Linked DNA regions of Schizosaccharomyces pombe. Changing the gene in region 3 together with the main gene of any one other region gives a genetic interaction. Each region holds a gene or a part of one and is shown on either strand. Other genes may lie near its edges.

Region 1 (2,471 bases), on a different chromosome or scaffold from region 3:
ACCGAAAAGGTTGAAAGAAGGTATGTAGAATGCGCTAACAGGCATGGCTTTCGAAGAGGTTGATTGATGCTTTAAGCCATTAGTAAAAGATTGATTACAAGAGGAATGAAAGAGTGACGGAAAGAATCGAGCAGGCGATCGAATTAAACGAAATGGAGAACGAAGAATGGACATGTTAAAAAGAAAATCGCATCTAAAGCTTAACCTCCGATATTTTTTAGAATCAATAATATACAAAGTATGAAAAAAAATAAATAATTAGCCAAACGGAAAAGAAATATGTAACAATCGGTCAAAAAAGTCAAGGGGGAATGAGCCTTAAGTAGTGTACGAAAATTTCTCCAATATCAATGTGTAATCAATTAGTGTCTAAAATTTCGATACTTCCACTCCTTATCTCGCTTAACGAACACTTATCGAACATCGATCTTTTTACAACAATTTCGCTAAATAGATCTGCAGCCAACTCCAACGTCAAATAAATGCTAAGGAATTAAAAGATCTTCAAATGATTTTCAAAACAAAATTGCTTGTCACCAAAACTCTTTTCCAAACGACATCAAATCACCTCCAAACTGTCATTCTTTCCGCCATTATCATAAATTTTACTTACCAAAAAGTAGAAGATCAAATATTTCTCTACCCAAAAGGAATTGGAATATTCTGAAGCGTCTTGAGTATGAAGAGCGCCATTATATACAATTGTCTGAGTAACAATTCCAAGCAATATGAATGGTCACATTCCGTTTCTTTTACCCTCAAGTTGATAGGCAGTAAGTTCGTCGTAAGACATATGTAACATTTTTAGATTCCTGGGAGAACTTTTCCAAAACAAAGCAACCCGAATTACTGCAAACTTTGTGATTTTGGCATGCATGCCATCCAAATGCCAAAAAGTGCGTTACCTTAACGTTGGAACAATTCTCAAAAAGGGTTTTTTTCGTTATTTGACGTGATCGTCGTCGATGCTGATTGGCAGTAAAACCTCAAGATCTTCTAGAAGATCCACGGATTTACCATGTTTATGTGGATCACTGCGGCTCTGTCTCCAAGGGGAATATACGGTCAAAGCAATCGCATTATCGCTGGTTCATCTTCCGGTTCTTCTGGACAATTTTTTTGCTTATCGTAAAATCGGAATGAGAATGACTGCTGGCAACGTGCCTCCGGAATTTTTAGCACACATTGTTTGGCATTTGCGGCGCTGTAAAAATTTATGTTATTGTTTGTAAGAGGAGCATCAGAGCTTAGTTGAAGTGTTGGGATGAATACAAAAGTTTCTGAATTGGTTTGAAAGCGACATCTTTAAAGGGATTTTATACTATTTCACTAAAAATTAAAAATTTCTCTTTGACTCAATGCCCTTTAAAAAAAAATTAAAACTTTTTTATATATGAAAACACTTGGGAATAATTACATGGGCCTTTTTTCATGATGATCGAACAAAGGGGAAGTATGTCTAAGCAATCCTAAATAAGTTTATCGTCAAGTAAAAGAAACACAACGTTTTATTAAGAACTTGTAAATTAACAAGCTCGATCATATCGAAAGTAAAACAGCATGACAGTCTTAACTTCATACAAATTGTATTGTGGGCCGGATTTTCCAGCCCCACTTGAAAAGAAGGAAAAAAGAGAGAAAGGAAAAATACGGAATATTAGTTTTTTAATAGTTTTGACAAAAGGGCCAATCTGGAAGGTTAGTTCAATGGAAAGCACCAGTTATAATGGGTGCATCGAAAACCTTGACTGTAAATTTAGAAAGTCATTCATTGAAGAAATAATAGCCTACGAAGGTTTTGGCAAATATATAGAGGTAATCAATTTTTAAATTTTTTTTTTGTCAAAAAGGAAACATGATTGCAGGTAATCAACATGATCAAATGTACCTTTTTTTTTGGTAATCGAACCCCCATAACCCAAGTAGTAATTAAAATCAAAGAAAGTAGCAAATGATGGAAATGGTCAAACTTGGATTTGATTGTTTCATAAGGTCAAAATTCATCTCACAAATGTTCGTTTTTGTGTTATTTACCAATACATCATTCTCCTTTAAGAGCAAACACCATTGGATGAAGTATTTAAAAATCTATTGACTTTTTAAACCCCATTCTCCTAAATATCTGTTAATCGCCCGATTGTATAGGAAACGACAGCATAGTGAAGGATTGGCGACATAAACTTTAGTATTCGAATGGGCAAACAAGAAAACAAATTCTAACATTAAACTATTTCGAGTGAAAACTATGGATAATTTCATTCAATAAAACGATGGTATTGGAATAAGTGTATTCCTTCAAACAAACTAAAAAGGACAGTAAAAGAAAGTTAAAACATAAAACTTTCACAGCGTCTCTGTTACATAAAAATCAGAGTTGTTAGACACTATAGGTCTGTGGCTAATGGAAACATGACAAGATCACTTGATCGTGATTTGAAAACAATCCATGACTCAGTTGATGGTTGTTTGGA
Region 2 (6,015 bases), on a different chromosome or scaffold from region 3:
ATGTACCGATACCACCATTGGGAATATTCAAAAGAACGGATGAGACAAACATAATCCAAGTACGAATATCAAGCATGGTTTCCTTAAACTGATACAATTTAAAGTGATTATTACCAACACCTTGCTTGTTGGCACGAAGACGCTTGACAACCAACTTACGATCTTCTTCAGTGAGAAACCAGGCTTTGAAAGGATTGTCGGGAACGACGGCAAGAATGACAAATCCCAAGAAAATGGCGAGGACACCGCAAATAATGAAAATAAGCTTCCAACCTCTCATGGGAAGACTGGTCCTCTTGGCCAAACCATAAGCCATGCAGCTACCAAGGATCTGACCCAAACCATTAAAAGCGACCCATACGGAAGTACGAAGTTGTTGTTCACTGCGCTTGTACCATTGAGCAGTGAGAAGAATGAAACCAGGACTGGCGGCAGATTCCATCATACCGAGAAGCACACGAAGAGCGATAAAGCCAGGATAGTTGGCAACTGAGGTCATGCAAAGCAAGAAACCCCAAATGACTAAGAAAACACACAAGGTCTTGGATAAAGGAAAGCGCTGAAGAAGAAGAGATGCAGGGAATTCGAAGACAAGGTAACCCAAGTAGAAAGCAGTACCTGACCAACTATACATTTGACCTTCCATCTTCAAGTCTTCTTTGAGACCCATGATAACGGCATAGGAATTTGAAGTTTTGTCCAAAAATTGGATGCAGTATACTAGACACATGACGGGGAAGATTGTGCAATCGATTTTGCGTACCAATCTACGCTCCGTTTCTGGATCGATCTCATCGTAGTCGACATCAAGGGCGTAATTGAAAGCAGCATCCACGCCTTTTGGCGAGAGATCGCCAACGTCGACATCGAGAATTTCCTTATTTTGGACACTCTCGGGATCTTTCAGCTTTTCGTCTATACTGATGCTTGACATTTTCTCGCTAGGCGCTTAAATATCTAAGCGGGATTATGGTAGTATGTCTAAAAGTAGTAGAGAAAGGAAAGGGAAAAAAGAAAAAAGAATTAAAATTAGAGGAGGGAAAAGAGAATGAAATTTAGTAAAAGCTATTTTCGCCAACACTTATAATGAGTGTAGTCGGGTTGTTTTTCTTATTGAGGATCGATATACTAATGAAATTGGCTTGTAGCATTGCAAGGTGATCCCTTCCTTTTAAACCAGGCAGACAAGCTCTTGACTTGGTTATCTGGCATCCACCCTCCGGTTGGTGTACCCGGTTTGTAATCTCGAGTATGTTCACTGCATCGCACATTTTCCTACATACCAAAAATTCTACTGTTGCACCTATCATTAAACATTGCAATACCTACCAACTCTACCTGGTTTTAGCACTAAATACCCGATATCGTGCTACCCCATTGTTCCTCCAAAGATCTTCTGAGCCCGGAGATATAGGAGAACTTGATAATGTTAGGTAAATTGGCAAAGTTGATGCGTCAGTCTCCTATCTATTCGTCAAGTTTCATCGTTTAAACAAACATCCAAGATCGGATATCAGGGGCGTAAAAACCGTAAATACTTGATAAAATAAATAAATGATGGAATGAAACGCTTCCTAAGCAGTCGAGCCAACATTGGGTCTTGCATTTCTAACTTTGCAGGAATTTCTTGATGAGAAATGGGGAAATCAAGACGCATATCATTCATACGTTGATTTTTCCTCATCCCAACGCTAACATCGAGCTCCCAACTCATTTTTTAAATTTTTCGTCCAAGCACTCATAGCGCAGCTTATCACCACTTACCACATATACTAGTGTAAAACAGTACTGATCGCTCGCCATGCTTAGATATGATTCCACCAAGATAGCAATAGATGTCTAAGTCGGCTATAGCCACCGGAAATATAATACACTAAGACACTGGGTATACCAAGAAGAAATGATAGTGTCATCCATCAAGGTCATTATTTCGGATTTAGAAAGGCTAGTGATATTTCTCTAAAAATTGCACAGTGATTGTGGAAATGCGGTGGAAGCCGTGGGGCTATCAGGATAGGATTGCTAGGCATGCCGCCATTTCCAAGATAATGGGCGAGTACGCAAACGTGCAAACCACTGTTAACGGATGGGCCCCGAGATCTCCGAGAGCGAGGAGAACTGGAGCTGGAGTTGCTGGAGTGAATTCCATACACAAAAATCGAGGGTTTTCTGTTTGGATAAATAGCTTAGAATAGTAAATGCTTGAGTTCCGCTGCATTCTCACTGCATGCATGCTAGGATGCAGCCCCATGAGGATAGGAGTCGTAGTGGCATGAGTAGAAGCGAAGCTATGGAGTTGGAGGATCAACTAGAGGAAGAAGAAAGGGGTGGTAATGTTGTTGTTGGCAGCAGCAGCGCGAACGCGAACGCGAGCACAGCAGAAACTGGGAAGAAGAGCGCTGGAGGCTCAAAACCGAAAAGAAGAAGAGGCGAGCGAATTCCACCTTCAAAAAGGATTCGAAAAGCTATTGCGTATGTAAATAAATATGCATCTGGTTGTTTTGGTCGAGTTGAAAGACGTTTAGTTTGTACGCGTTCGATCAGCCGCCATTCCAACCAAAAGTTGCTTGATTTGTTTGTTATTACTATATTTATTGTTTTCGTATTATTTAGTTGATCTATTGAATTATGTAGTTGTTTCTTTATTTCCTTACTTTACAATTTTTTTTTGGTTTTATTTTTTCTACTTTTTTTTTGTCTATTCATTCAAATGCTAATATTAGTTGTGTGGAATGCAAAAAGCATAAAATCAAATGCGTCGGTAACTTTCCCTGTGGCAGATGTCTTAAAAAAGGATTAGAATGCGTAATAGAAACTCCTCCTAGATTGCTTATGAATAAAGACGAAATTTCTCTCAATCTTCAGAGACTCAGTCATATGGAGACCATCCTTTCTAAACTCATGCCAAGTATGAGCTTGGATTTGCCCAGCTTGGAAGCAAAGATTGCGGAGCTTAGTGAAAGCCTTCAAACCTATCCTGATAAAGTACTTACCGACATCGAACTTGGAAGCTATCAACAAGTGACTTTGAATGAGACACAGACATATTACGAAGATGCCGGCTCTAACGAAAGCTTCGTCGCTCGCGTGCACGAGATCATTTGCCAGGGCAGGGAATTTCAGGTGCAGCATAAACTCACTAACGTATGTATTGATGGATTCATCTACTTCATTTCATACCCTTGCTATGTTGTGGGGCATCATCGATTTTACTGTTCTTTACTAACCCGTTTTTCTCAATAGAAAGGAAATAAAACATTTGAAGATATTTTAGATCCCGCCGATAATACTGTCGCCTCTTTAATCCATGCATTACCCCCAAAGGATATCACTTTTTATTTACTTATGACATTTTGGCAATTTTCTAGTGACAACAACCATTTTTATTATAATACCAAGCTGTTTGCTGCAAAAGTCCATCATCTTTTCGATGATCCAACTTCCTTTCAATCAAAAGATGGTGGTTTTGTGTGTATGCTTCTTCTGAGCATGGCCATGGGCAGTCTATTCTCCTACATTCGCCATCCAGAGTTCCTTTCTGATGAAAATCACGATCGTTGGACTTATCCTGGCTCTCAGTTTTACCAAAACGCCAAACTTCTTTTTCCCAAAGTCATCAGTGAATCGTCGTTGGAAACAGTACAGTCTTTCTTCCTAGCCGGTATGTATTTGTCTCCAACATTGGCACACGAAGTTGTATACATGTACTTTGGTATAGCTATGAGAGCTGCTGTTGCCAATGGTATGCACAAAAAGTCTGCGAATGCTCAATTTTCCGGAGATGTTGCTGAACTTCGTAAACGGCTTTTCTGGAGTGTATATTGCATGGAAAGGTAAGGCTGTTGAAAACTTCCCAAGATTCATGTCTGGGAAGAAGAAGAGAATTTTTTATTATTCCTCCTCATTATTTTATGCTAACGTTTAACTTTTAGAAAAATAGGTATTTCTCTGGGCAGGCCCGAGAGTCTTGTGCGTTCCGAAATTGATATTCATTTTCCAGAATACCGTGAAAGTTTAGATTCGCAAAACTTCATTGCCAGCTTCCGGACCTTCACCTTAGCTATTAAAATTTCCCTTCTAACTAATAAAGTCTATGACATGTGGTATTCCTCGCTACATGGAAAGGCGAACTTAAAAGCAGCTACCATTAAAGAGATTGTAAACGAAATTGAGGCATGGCGCCAACAACTGTCTCCTGATCTAGAAATACAAAACATTGGCCCAGATAGCAGGTCTTACAGAGGTATCGTTCATTTGCATCTAGCTTATCATATTGTTCGAATTGCCATGGGCCGACCGTTCTTACTACACCGGCTTCGTGAAAGAACGATGAATAGTAAGACGGATGAGGGAGCTAGGCTTCTTACTGATAAGTTAATTTCATACTGCTATTCATCCGCTTTGCACATTGTCGACCTCCTTGTACTACTAAGAATGCACAAATTTCTATCTGTCTATTCATTTATGGATTACCATTCATGTCATGCCGCCTCTTTTATCATTCTGGTGCATCTTCTAATCAACCCGTCTGAACAAACGATCGAACAACTGAATACGGCTATTGACATTTTGAATTTTGTTACCGACAGATTTCCACTTTTAAAAGGAAGTACGGATGTCATAACTAACTTGCGGGCATTTGCTGAACAAAGCGAGGTATATCAATCAAGGCTTAATGCTACCGAACCAGCTTATTCGACGCAGGTGCCTTTCTTCCCTAGAGATGCTGATTATCATAATCAAATCAACCTACAAAATCTTTGGAATGATGAAAATATCAATGCCTCACTAGAGGCACTTTTCAATGATGCGAAGGGTTTTGGCTTTTTACTCCCCGCTGATAACTTCATTTTCCCTAGTGACGATGGAGACATGTAATGATGGCTTTCTTTCGAAACTACTCAAACCTGAATTTTAAAAAGGTCGATATTTTAATTTACCCTTATTCTTTTCTCCTAGTTGGTCTACCTTACTGAACATATTTACTATTAAAGCAAATGAAACTGAAAGTTAACCCTTTTTCCCATGGTCACATTGCATCCTTTTTTTATATGATCAAATCATGCTGATTTGACCAAATCCTTTTCCAAAAAAAAAAAAACAAAAGATAAAAAAAATAGGCAGTTGCATTTTTTAATGAATACATAACGTGCATAACTGTTAACACAATTTTACTTCTAACTTTATTGTATCTTTCCTTTTGTCTTATCTAGATTAAACCCGTTTTAATGGTTCTCAATTAGAAGCAATTGTTTTAGCTTGGTTTCTAATTACCCTCTTAAAGGAATTAAAGGCTTCAATTGACGAGTGTTGAATTATTGAACAGAAAACTGTACATACACATATACAGTTGCGATTCGCTGAGTATGATAGAAATTTTCGTTATTTCATTTTATGGATATTAGCAATTCAATATTTTAAGTATCATAAACAAGCTGAATTGACAATCATTTTAACGTATAGTCCTTTTGACTTTCACAGTCTCATATAAGTTTCCTTGTGTAAACGATAACTATGGAAATACTGGATAGCGTCTGCAATCAAGAATGAAAAATAATAACTAGAAATGAATTCAACTAACTGATTAAAAAAAAGGAGCCTACAGCACCCCGGATTCCCATGTTGTCTCCAACCATAGTACTAACGAGGCCCTCAGACGCTTAACTGCAGTGATCGGACGGGAACTGGTGTTTTCACCTAGGTATGGCCGTAGACGTTCGATAATGTAATAAATGATTTTTATAGCGTTCATTAGGGGAATGGATAAAGGTTCTTTAAATTTATTTCAGCCAATATTCCCTTAAAGAGTTTCTAGTTGGACGATTTAACTAATTGATTGACTCAAAATTTAACAATTATTATAACGCTTTTGTATATTTCTCTTCAACTTTTCTACCAAAGAAAAGGCTTCTCTTGATGACTAAGTATTCGACTGTCAAGTTTTGTCAATTTAGTCTCAAATATTTCGGTCATGGAATCATGCTTCCTCAGAGCTTAAAATAGGATAAACGAATT
Region 3 (4,042 bases):
GAAGGCTTTGAAAACGAAAAAAATAGATCCTCTTCTTGAAGCAGCACGCAAAGAAGATTAAAGTAAGAGCATCTTTGGATATATGATTTTTAAGGTTGCTTTGAAAGATAGCAGTACCATGGAATAAAGCTCTTCTTTTAAAACGGGTGAAAAAGTGATAAGCATCTGTGCAATTGTAAGTTTATCAGAATTGTAGGTAACGAAATATCTCTGCCATGAAGCAAGTATACACTTCTAAAGGTGTTGTTTAAGAACATATGATTCGGCATATCCTTTTGCTGGCAAACCAATAATTCTCTAAAAGGGTAGTTGACTAAGATCATACTAAGTAAAATGATATGAACATCTTTTCATTGGACTCACCTTTGTAGAAAACTTGTAAGAATATACTTATAATCAAAGAATTGAATGGTATTCCTTCTTAATTAGTCTATTTTCACTTCGACATGCAAAAACATTATTTTGGCAAAAATTCGACACCAGCAGGATTTGAACCTGCGCGCGGAGACCGCAACAGATTTCTAGTCTGTCCCTTTAACCACTCAGGCATAGTGTCCAAGTCTGTCACTAAAAAATATATAACATATACATATTAACTACATCAGTCGCAGTTAAACAATAAAAATTTGAATGAATGAAAAAAAATACTGTAAATGTCAATTGATTTTTATCATTTTTAAATAAATAAAATTTGTAACTGTTAAGTCAAATTTCGAACCTCTACGTTTAGGAAAAGCTTTGCATGAATGTTCAGTATTTTCTTTATTAGTTTTGGAACTATTGTATTCAAAAGTACACTGAGTCCAGTAGTAATCAGTTCTGTTGAGAATTTCATACTATTGATTGTAATTGATATACGGTATTAAGAAGCTGAAAGTTGAAGTGCAGTCAATTTCCTTTGTAAAACATGTCTTTCATAGTTAGGTAGCAAATTGGTATATTAGAGTTTAATTGCAGATTATTAATCAAAAACAAATTTTTACCTAAAATATTATGCGTTACGCCAAATTTTGAGTCGTTAACCTAGCAATTGCACAAGGGCAAACAATAAAAACGAGTGGGTGATGGAATTAATAAGACCAGGTTTGTTTTTGCTAGCTTCTGCAGCGCAGTTTATTTATAGAAAATATTGTTATTATTTTTAGTTAATGAAAATTTGGGTTTTTTTATATATAATTTTCCTAAGAGTCGTATTTACATATATATAAACAAAAATATTAAAAATCGAAATACTTATCTCTAAAGAAATACATGTCAAAGCAAATCATTTTACAAATAAAGAAATTGCCTAAAAAAATTAAATCTCTTTCTAGCAGCCCATGAGTAATTTTATGCACACCATAGAGCACATTACTGTTTGTTTTGTTTTCTGGAGTGTACCAAGCATTTATAAATTGGTAACACAAAGCAAATACGTTCTTAAATGTAAGGTCGAAGGAAAGTGACTAGCAAGCTCAATTGTTCTTTTAGTGTATAATAGAACAGACATAATCTTCTCGAAATCTTATATGTTTAAAAGCTTTTTTTTTCTGCGTTATAAAATCATGCCTTTGTTTAAGGAAATAAATTGAGATTTTTTATTAATTTGCATTTTAAATTTGCTAGATTTTTTTTTTTTTGTTCATTCAATTGTCAAGGTCCAATGTTTACAGACGCGTAAACAAACAAATGTGACGTGGCGAAAGACGCGTATAAAAAACCCATTATTCTTCTTTTAACATTCCTTTAAATTAAGATCCCCAAAACATTTTCAAAATGGGCTCGCTACCTGATCAATCGTCTTGTGAAGAGTTTACTGATTCGCAACAGGATAAGATGACAAAACTGCTTGCTATGCAACTTGGCCCAGAGTATATTTCTCGCCGAAGTGGTCCAGGAGGAGGATCTGTTACATACTTAGAAGCATGGAAAGCAATTGAGCTCGCAAATGAAATATTTGGATTTAATGGGTGGTCTTCTTCCATTCAAGACATTCATGTCGATTATGTAAGTGTTAATTTTGCGTCAAAATTCTACGAAAAAAGTGCAAATCGTATCAATTCTTGAGCCTATATTTATTTATTTTTACTAATCATTATTAAAAGGTAGAAGAAACGAAAGAGAAAAAGTTTAATGTTGGAATCAGCGTTATTGTACGCGTTACATTAAAGGATGGCTCCTTTCATGAGGTAAACAAAACATGTCCTCAGTAATATTTCGTGATACCGGTTAAATTAATTATAGCAAATGGTATTTTTTTCGAAATAATTCATAACTTTTTCGTTCTTAACTATTCCATATCAGATTGTGGCCAATTTCTTGCTAACAAATGGTTTTTCTAGGACGTTGGATATGGATCTATAGAGAATTGTCGAGTGAAGGCATTAGCTTACGAAAAATGTAAAAAGGAAGGAACTACGGACGCATTAAAGAGAGCTCTTCGAAACTTTGGAAGTAGCATGGGTAACTGCCTTTACGACAAACGCTATATTCAAAAAATCTTGAAAATGGCACCTGCCCAGGTAATATGGAAACACATAAAATTTAAAAATAATTAAGCTGACAGAAATGCAAAATTAGGCTGAGTTCAACTACGACAACCTTTTACGCGCAAACAAAAGACCCTATGCACGGTTCGCTCAGAAAGTATCTACCCCTATAGAAAGCCATGCAAATAAAAGTGTTAAGCTAGAACATAAAAATTCAATAGAGAAGAAAATTTCCAATGTGGATAAACCTATATCAGATCTCATTGAGAATGACATTCATGAAAGTCTGCCAGCTCTGCAAAATCCCCCCATTCAAAGCCATTCAGAAACAGACCTTTACGCAGGTATAAAAAATTTATTAATGACCAAATTGAAAAACTAAACATAAAAATATAGATGAAGAACTGGACAGCATCCTTATGCATCACGAGCGCCCGCCTATTCCTGAGTCACCTAGGGTAGAAGAATTCGAGGAGTAAGACAGACCGATCAATGCGTGCGAATGCCGACTAACTAATAGATTATTAAACCAATTTGAAGGAGATGAAAAAGTTTCTGTTGACAAAATTGACGCACACGATAAAATGACCGAAGCTCAGGTTGTCAAGATTCCCCCAGTACAATTTATGAATGCACGTGTAGCAGCAGCAGAAAACCCACATATAAAGCACGAGGGAATGGCATTTCAGTTGCACAAAAAGAGTAATTCTATACTAAAATCATCTAATATAGACCACAACAGATCCATGCCTATACGACGTCCTTCGTTAACTTCAAACAACTCTGCAAACACGTTCTCAACGAAATAAAAAAAATAAAATTGAGTGAAACGTTCAATGGTATAAACTTTTAAACTGCTTGCGAAATAAATTGCTGTACAACGAACGTCTCAGTGAATTTAACTAACTATCTTTCTTCTATTGAATGCAAAATTTCGATTTTCGAGTTCATGAATCAATTTATTTTTTTAATATACTTTAAACAGAATTAATATGAATAATTAATATGAATTTTTAAGACGTTCAATTCAATTTGTGTTACCCAGTAGTTTTTTGAACTGACCTTTCACCTCTTCTTCCACTTGGTTCAAATAAGTAGATCAAAATGACAGATAAAGAGAAGAAGCCTTGTGCCATCATAGTTGTAGGAATGGCCGGTTCAGGTATGAATTTTTTTATAATTGAAAAACCAATAAAGCACTCAACGCAGCAATTTCTAATCATTTTCATGTAATAGGCAAAACCACCTTCATGCAACAACTGAATGCACACCTTCATTCAAAAAATAAACCTCCTTACATTTTAAACTTGGATCCTGCTGTTCGAAATTTACCCTATGAGGCAAATATCGATATTCGTGATACAATCAATTATAAAGAGGTTATGAAACAGTACGTTTGTCTATTCCAGAGTTACAAGATTTTGGGAAATTTTCTAATTCATTTAGATATAACTTGGGGCCAAATGGCGGTATTATGACAAGTTTAAACTTATTTGTTACAAAGTTTGATCAAGTACTAAAAATTTTGGAAAAACGTGCACCAACAGTCGATCACATTTTGATAGATACTCCTG

What was found.
Region 1: mutations in rti1 (region 3) and SPOM_SPAC5H10.07 together harm fitness more than expected from each alone (negative genetic interaction), as found in Schizosaccharomyces pombe (one large-scale study listed by BioGRID).
Region 2: mutations in rti1 (region 3) and SPOM_SPCC417.09C together harm fitness more than expected from each alone (negative genetic interaction), as found in Schizosaccharomyces pombe (one large-scale study listed by BioGRID).

Annotation. Positions count from the first base shown.
Region 1 is NC_003424.3:157,643-160,113, forward strand, and holds SPOM_SPAC5H10.07 (uncharacterized protein), read left to right. Parts: upstream 1-1,560; coding exon 1,561-1,830; downstream 1,831-2,471. Other genes in the region: alcohol dehydrogenase Adh4, read right to left, coding at 1-45; pan6 (pantoate-beta-alanine ligase), read right to left, coding at 2,452-2,471.
Region 2 is NC_003421.2:1,690,645-1,696,659, reverse strand, and holds SPOM_SPCC417.09C (transcription factor), read left to right. Parts: upstream 1-2,075; 5' UTR 2,076-2,227; coding exon 2,228-2,574; intron 2,575-2,723; coding exon 2,724-3,144; exon of another isoform or gene 3,145-3,243; coding exon 3,244-3,833; intron 3,834-3,932; coding exon 3,933-4,878; 3' UTR 4,879-5,441; downstream 5,442-6,015. Other genes in the region: dipeptide transmembrane transporter Dal51, read right to left, coding at 1-934.
Region 3 is NC_003423.3:744,280-748,321, forward strand, and holds rti1 (DNA repair and recombination protein), read left to right. Parts: upstream 1-1,755; coding exon 1,756-1,986; exon of another isoform or gene 1,987-2,084; coding exon 2,085-2,168; exon of another isoform or gene 2,169-2,321; coding exon 2,322-2,501; exon of another isoform or gene 2,502-2,559; coding exon 2,560-2,812; exon of another isoform or gene 2,813-2,864; coding exon 2,865-2,943; exon of another isoform or gene 2,944-2,988; coding exon 2,989-3,277; 3' UTR 3,278-3,455; downstream 3,456-4,042. Other genes in the region: protein Mdm35, read left to right, coding at 1-61; GTPase npa3, read left to right, coding at 3,573-3,630, 3,705-3,858, 3,915-4,042. UniProt on the Schizosaccharomyces pombe protein: Active in the repair of DNA damage and in mating-type switching. Probably involved in the repair of DNA double-strands breaks. Has a role in promoting S phase completion.